Linked DNA regions of Lepisosteus oculatus. The protein of the gene in region 2 purifies or fractionates together with the protein of the main gene of each other region. This does not show direct contact. Links are inferred from orthologs where the notes say so. Each region holds a gene or a part of one and is shown on either strand. Other genes may lie near its edges. The genes, in order: Golgi apparatus protein 1 and osbpl8.

Region 1 (3,921 bases), on a different chromosome or scaffold from region 2:
GAATCTTCAGAGGGAGAGAGACAACGAGGAAGCATTTCTACACCGCATACAACCAAAAAACAACAAGGTTAGCAACTTGTCCCAAAACGCAACATACACCCTGGTTTAAAAACACCACAAGGAGAACCGTTTACACGGCCTGCTCCGCCGAAGTCGGCGCTTTTGTTTTAAACAGAAGACGCAAAAGCTTTCAAGGCGACTTTTTGTGGGTTTTTTTTTTTACTGCCCTGAACGCGTGACGCCTCGTACACGTCTCGCAGGGAAAAAAAAATAGCGGGGGCAAAATATTTCTTGGGACCGCTGCCTTGGTCTATTGCCAAACTGTGTTTTTATATATATATAGATATAAATGGCATTTTCGGGCCCTGTGCTGGCTGGCGCGCTGTCTCCGAGGCGCTAGTCACCAGCCATTACCTTGGTAACCCGGAGGAGAGACGAAACAGGATTTCCTCTCCCTGCGGTTCACAACGACGACTTGAGGGAGGCAGGGTCCCTATGAGCCGAGGCGGCTGGCCGTGTCGTGCTTTGTCAACTGCACACCTCACCCTGAGTTTACGGTCGTTGCAAGCTGCGTCAGTAAGGTAATTTACTGCAGAAGTTTGCCGTTGAATGCCATTCGAGTTGCCAGATGTTGGGGGAAAAAAACCCGAAATCCTGTTCAAGCCCGTTGCTTGCTTTTCACCGTTTCACGGTTCCCCCCCTCCCTTAAACTCGAGGCTTTTCGCAAAGTGAACACGCTTGGGCCGTGGACAGTAAAAAAAAAAAAACCCCACCCGCGGCGGCGCCGTGGGACGACAACTAAATGACACGTCATGCCCCACTCGCGAAATGTGGCACGCAACCTATGCATCGCTGCGGTCAGTGCCCCCAACACAGAAGCTCAACGCCGTGCCCTAGAAACACCGCTGAAGCGCTTTCTTGCGAGGAAAACGCCAAGCAAGTTTCATGAGTAAAAGTGAAAAAGGCTTTAATGTCAGTCTTTGCATACTCCTTTCCCTCTCAAAAAGGATTTCAAGTGCATAGATAACTTAGACGTTTGATGCCCCTCCTCCCTTTAGTCTGAACTTCTTATTGAAGTTATTTTTTTTTACTTTCTTCCAGGAGTAGCCCCGTTCAACAGCGTGACGAAACACCGTCTCCAACTTCACCACCCCAGCTAGGTTACAGCACTGCAGAAAACCCAGGTACCTCACGGCGGTTACAATCACACAAATACACAAAAGGAGGCAAGAGACTCAGACCCGGCTCAGTTTATGTTCCTCTCTGGCAGGGAAATGCAACAACTCCTCTAACAGGCGCTGTACAATCCTGCAAACCTTCGTCCAGGGAAGACACGTATACTATCGTGGACGAGCAATCTCTGAAATTCAGCCTCCCTGTAACAGCACGCCTCAGTGCTGAGAGAGAGAAGCTCAGCAATGCCATTTAAAAGACTCACAAACTGGGCGTCTTGAACTGCTGGCCATTGAGCTGCTCGTTCATTATGAACACGGCACCTTGCTGCCGGTGCAACTCGTGAGTATCAGTTGATATTGGTCACTGGTCGTGCAAGGACCCGTCTCCCACGGTGACAAACCCACGGGTCTCCCCCACACTGACCACACCACCGTGACAAAGACACGCATGCAGCAGCCCCCTTAACACGCAGGGCTGTGGTGTCTCTCTCCAGCGGGGGCCTCGTACCGCACGGCGGGTCCTGCAGTCCCCGGCGGGGGTGGTGTGCGTGTCCGTCTGTGAGGGACGGCGCCCCGCTGCTCCAGAGCCGTCCCTGTCGCATCCACACCAGCCACCCAGTCCCCCCCATCTCCCTGCAGGCAACACCCTGCCTACCGGCCCGCAGATCCCCCCGCCTCCGCCGCCGCCGCCTCACCTCCTTGCGGTCCTGCAGGCACTCCAGCACGGCCAGGTTGTTGCTCCAGGTGTGCTTGGGGCAGAGCCGGGTCAGGTCCTCCCGGCAGGCCTCCTCCTCGGCCAGCTTCCAGCCGGTCGCCCGGCGGGGCTGCGCGGCCGGGGCTCCGAGGCCCACACCGCCCGGGTTCGGCGGCCCGCCGGGGTTCTGGCCGCCCAGGGGGACGCCGCCGCCGGGGACGACCATCGGATTGCCCCCCTGCCGGGCGTCCCGGGAGGCGGACAGAGCCAGCAAGGCGGGCATCAGCAGTAGGAGCAGCTGAACACGTCTACACGCCGCCATCTTCGGGGAAATGGCTACAGCAGGACGGCGGTACGCCACTCCTGTTTAAAGCGTCGGCGTGCGCGCTGTGGGCCGGCCCACCCCGCTCCCTCCTCCCCGACCCCCGCACGGACGGGCCGGCACCGCGGGAGCCCCAAACCGACGGCTAATGGGGCTGCCAGCGGTCTGGGCTGTCAAAAACATTAAATTAGTTGTTATTCTACGAGGGACGGGCCTAGTAGTAGTAGCCGTAATTTTTTTTTCTCTCCTTAAAATAATAAAAAAAACACAACACACACAACGTCAGCTCACTGACGTTACAGTTAACCGGTGACAGTAAACCCATAAACTTAGACGACCCCGAGAATCAGATATTGATCTGGTTTGGAGCCCGTTGTATTAGCTTTGAGATAAGTTCTGATGCTGTAGCAGAGATAAACGTGTCTCTAGTGCATTGATAGTTGGGGAAATATGAGAAGTTTGCCTTATTTCGAAGCCCTAGTGAATTCTATTTTACAATTTGTTCAAAGGGTTCTCTTTTTTTATATAATGAACGTGTCTGAATAGCCAGTGCCATCGGCAATAATTGTTTTAAAAATAAAACTATTTTTTTAAGTTTGTTTTCAATTTCCTTCGCACGATTGCATGGGCTATTCAGACACATCCACCATAAAAAAAAGAACCCTTTGAACAAACTGTGAAATGCGGTAAAGATTTTGATTATTAAATGCTCACAAAAAAAAATTAACGGTCCTTTTCTGCTACGCTGAACTTTTCAAACAGGCGAACTACGGCTGTTTAATTTCGATCATTGTGGTTCTAACTAGACATCGAGAGAGCGGGTTTGTTTCCTGTGTGGTGATGGGTATATGGACCAAAGTCAATTGCTGGACATTGCGCGGGTCTGTTTCACCACATAAAAATCCATCAGGCGTGGAAGAGATCCAGGCAGGAGTAGGTCTATTAGATTACCGGGCCCTCTGCAGCAGGTGGGTAGAAAGGTGCAGTACCTTATTACTGCAGCTCGCACTGAGAAATGCACACCCTTCCCTCAACACACTGGAAATCTACACATGCTGTCTTACTCCTGCATTCACAGTCGAGTAGCCTCTGACATACAGGACAAGACAGCAGTTACCCAGTTAGCCATTTCCTAACCATGTCTTCCAGCAGAGTGGCAGCGGAGCTGGAGCCTGTCCCTGCAGGTAACAGGCCCCAGGCATGGAGCAGGCCGGACAGGACACCGGTCCTTCACAGACACGCACACACACACCAGGGCCAGTCTTCCGTACCAGCATGTCTTGGACAATTAGCAGACACCTACAAGATACCCTTTCTTCGTTTATGTGCAGTAAGTGAGCCTGTTCGACCAATTTGGTTGACTACGTGTGACCTATCAGACAAGACCTTCCTCTAGTACGGTGACTAGGACCTTCGGATTGTTATTGTTGCCTTAAACAAACAACTCAACGAGCATTGTTAAATTTCCTTCTTGGGCTGCAGCCATTTGCGATGGTTTGAATATTCTCATGAAAATAAAAAGACAATACAAAAACAGGCCCACAGGAAGTCACAAAGTAGAGGGAGTTGGGCAGCTCGTACTTATATTTGTGGCTCTACCAGTGGTACAATACTGCTTTGAAATTAATTATCAATCAATTAATCATCCTTGGGGTCCTGAGAGACTGTTCCCTGATGCAATCAGAGAATCTTTCACATTAAACACTGGTAGTGCAGAAACCAACACTCTC
Region 2 (3,921 bases):
TTCTCAGAGTCCTGGTGGCCTGTTGAAAAGTGTTTGACTTTCCAAAACGTAACAAGGTCCTCAGAGAACTAAATGTGTTTTCCCACCATTACCAATGCATCCCACAATGCCACAGCACGTCACATGTAATGTTCTTAGAGAACTGTTTTTAAAAACAAAATAAAAATATTGTAGAGCAGGGGGTCAGAATACATACATCATTTCTGGACAGGAATTGTTTAGGGAAAGCACTAATTAGGTACAATTTGTTCAAAGGTTAATTTGAGCTACAAGTCACACTCTGTCAACTATCAGCTGGATAATTTGTATTAGCCTGAAAGAATAAGGATGTTTTTTTTCCATCAAAACCGTTTTTAATCAAAAAGGTGATTGAATCAACAGTTAATTCCTGCAAGCCGCAAACCATCCACTCTATTTTTAAGCATAATTACCAAGTTGAATGGGTTCGTAGGTGATCTGAAAGACACGATGTCATTATTTTGCAGATCTCAAAATAGGTCAAAGCACATGATGCAGGATAAAAACATACAGATTTGTACTTCTTAAATGTTCTCACTGTTCTAACACTTTATTCACTGATCTCTTTCGAAGTGTTAGTAGAAACGACAGAATATGCAGTGTCATATTGTATTATGCTATGTGCATAGTAGTAAATTATATAGTAGTGTTATAGAATACGAAATAAAGGAGAAATCTATTCAAGAGTAAACGTGTACTCTTTCAAGCAGTAGTCAAAGTGACCAAAAAACGTGAATTCCACAAAATAAGTATTTTTTAATAAACACATGAGATGGCTGGACATATAATGGTGTAATATCTATAATACAAGTAATAGCTTGGGCTTCCTCTTACATGTATTTGCAAAAACACTCAGGAGAAAATGTAATAAAAGAAATCTTGTAAAAGAACGAAATGTGCTTTAACTTAAATAACAACGTCCTGTAGGTTGAATAGTAAGTAACTAAAGCAGACACTACACTTCCGAAACTGTTAAGTGAATGAGTGTCTTGTTACAGAGTTCTTGTCTTTAAAGAGAAAGTTGAAACGTGATATTTACTTAGCAATTAATGCTTGTCGTTGTGCTTTCGCGGTACATAACATTTTGTTTGGACACACTTTTCAGATATTCAAAACATTCTGTCAAGAGATATCTTCTGGTTACGTGCATACCAGCAAAATATTTTCATGTTACGTAAATAAAAACACTACCCTCAAATTAGAATCAGTATCAGGTAAACATGACTCGCGTAGTCCCTGTATATAGAGGATGTTTGCATCACATGCTTAAAAATGGAGAACGTAGAAGCATATTGCAGAAATCCAGAAAGTAAGGGCACAGTCTCTTCTGTTTTGAAAAATGTAACATTACATTTTGACAAAGATCGACAATATAATATGGAAGAGTGCCCGATCAAATCGAAACAAGACATTCACCTCCCAGTTCATGCTCTGCATACGACTACGTAAGAGATAACCAACTATTCAATAAGTCATCTTGTCGTGGAGCATACGGTTATCGTTATTATAGGCCCACATCGGTGTATCCCTAAAACCCGTGTAAAACAAGTACATTGAGGTTACGATATTTACTCTTTAATTACAAAGATTCGTCGCAATAAAAAATGAAGTTTTCAAGTTCCATAAGACGAATTGATTACGCACAACCAGATTAGGGTCGCTGTTTTGTGGACAAAACCACCATCCGAATGGCATGGTTAATTCTTTTAAGAAAAATGCGGTCAGCCAGCACCCCTGAAATGCTCTTGGATCTGCTGGGTGTCTTTACGCCATCCCTTTTTGATAGGGATTTCACTCAAGTAACAACATGCAGTTCATTCTACAACTAATGATTCAATCTTTATTATATACTTTTTCGTGATCTCTAAAATAAAACAGGTACAACTACTATAGTGATATATTCTACTACAAGCAACATAGTGTACCAGTCGGTTGCACGCAATACAAGTTGAAACTCGGGACATTTAATTTTTTTACCTCCCTTTTACCTTTTTTTAAACGCGAGAAAACACACTTCTAAAACCAAGAAGGTACGTGACTAGTTTGTAACTGCATATGTAAAACCTGCTTGGGGTGCTGAACATTTAGTCCAGTCAATTCTTTATTTACCATGATAAAAGTAATCGAGCACCTCCATTGAAATTTGTCTCGCTTTGAAAACCGATTAAAAATATCAGCTGTCTCTAGTTCAGAATGACTTGTAATGCCTCCCCCCAAAAAAGGCTTTGCCTTTGTGGTATATTTATACAGATGGGAAACATCCAAGCGTTTTAAGTTTTTTTTTAAATAAGCTCATAAAAACACTTGTACAGTATTTGCATTTATTAAGTGCAAACACGCGCAGAGAAGTTAAATGAGATTCTTATAACTTGTTACCTGACAGCACACTTCGTAATCCACACTGTGGCCACACTCACAGTATTAACGAAATTAAAAATGACCTTACCTTGCATATGCTACAAAATCTTGAAAGGATCCTTATGCGACGTTTATTAACGGCCTTATGCAACTGTCCGATGCTAGAATTTGTTTCTTGAAGAGAAATTAGTCAAATGGTCATGGCAGTAACTTCATTAGTACGCGATGAATAAACCTGTTAAGCAAGGACGTATAGGTGGTCACAGGCAAAACTCTGACAATTTAACTATAGGTATCTTCCCATTTGTTGCGGCTATTTTTTATCTGTCAACGTGAAACTGTCCTATTCTTGGACGACTTCAGGTCCGCAATTGTAGCCTCTTCCTTCCTGCCAACTAGAGCTCCGTGAATCGAAGATCGATTAGACATTCTGACTTGGCCTGCTGAAGATCAGCGCTCAATTCCTTTAGTCTGGAGATGTTTATATCCTTTATTTCCAGTATATCAGGATAAAACGTAATAAAATGAATGCTATTCCCCACCATTTTTAAACAGCGAAAGCATTAAGAAACCCACAAAGAAATATCACTCTTTCATTACAGAACTGAAATTTTAATTTTCCGTAATGTAGGAGGTCTGAGTTGATCAGTTAGTGTCTTGCGCCCCCTGGTAGCCAAAAATTACATTTACATTTTCAAAATGTATTCCAAGGAAAACTGATTCTTCGACATTCAGAATCTGAATGATAGAATATTGAGAGAAGACCATTAAGTTGAGTTCTGATAAGGTTTTGAAAAATGTGTCCCTTATTTATTTAAACTGAGAGCTTGATCTAGGCCAAACCCTGATTCCACTTATCTGACAGTAGTCTGATTCTCCACTGTAGTATCACATCAATTGGTGAAAGAACAAGCAACATGTACTGATGATAATTTTCCTCTTTATACCACTATATATATATATTATTGTTGTTATGAAGATGAACAATATAATATATATATATATCCTTTGTGTGCTTTCATCACTTAAAAGGTCACCTTCACACTTGTCCAATTTGCAGTTTTTGGCCAACATCAGTGCAACATCAAAGATAGTGAATAGATTGCACTAGTCAAACAATTTAAAAAATCTTGGAGAGAAACAGCATTCTTTATATCCTGTTCTATTTAAGCTCTAATTACCTGAATCTTTTTATGCCTTAGTCAATCAAGGATCTCCAACTGAAGGCATCTACAGTGCCTTGCGAAAGTATTCGGCCCCCTTGAACTTTTCAACCTTTTGCCACATTTCAGGCTTCAAACATAAAGATATAATTTTTTTATTTTATGTGAAGAATCACCAACAAGTGGGACACAATTGTGAAGTGGAACGAAATCTATTGGATTTTTGAAACTTTTTTAACTAATAAAAAAATGAAAAGTGGGGCGTGCAAAATTATTCGGCCCCTTTACTTTCAGTGCAGCAAACTCACTCCAGAAGTTCAGCGAGGATCTCTGAATGATCCAATGTTGTCCTAAATGACTGATGGTGATAAATAGAATCCAC

Evidence for each region.
Region 1: the proteins of osbpl8 (region 2) and Golgi apparatus protein 1 purify together in Homo sapiens (co-immunoprecipitation; 3 studies listed by BioGRID and IntAct, with this or other methods). This does not show direct contact. The link is inferred for Lepisosteus oculatus from reciprocal best matches to the Homo sapiens genes OSBPL8 and GLG1.

What each region holds. Positions count from the first base shown.
Region 1 is NC_090715.1:16,326,242-16,330,162, forward strand, and holds the start of Golgi apparatus protein 1, read right to left. Parts: upstream 2,406-3,921; 5' UTR 2,192-2,405; coding exon 1,871-2,191; exon of another isoform or gene 1,271-1,870; intron 1,185-1,270; exon of another isoform or gene 1,102-1,184; intron 68-1,101; exon of another isoform or gene 1-67. UniProt on the Homo sapiens protein: Binds fibroblast growth factor and E-selectin (cell-adhesion lectin on endothelial cells mediating the binding of neutrophils).
Region 2 is NC_090702.1:21,121,274-21,125,194, reverse strand, and holds the start of osbpl8 (oxysterol-binding protein-related protein 8), read right to left. Parts: upstream 2,884-3,921; 5' UTR 2,465-2,883; intron 1-2,464. UniProt on the Homo sapiens protein: Lipid transporter involved in lipid countertransport between the endoplasmic reticulum and the plasma membrane: specifically exchanges phosphatidylserine with phosphatidylinositol 4-phosphate (PI4P), delivering phosphatidylserine to the plasma membrane in exchange for PI4P, which is degraded by the SAC1/SACM1L phosphatase in the endoplasmic reticulum.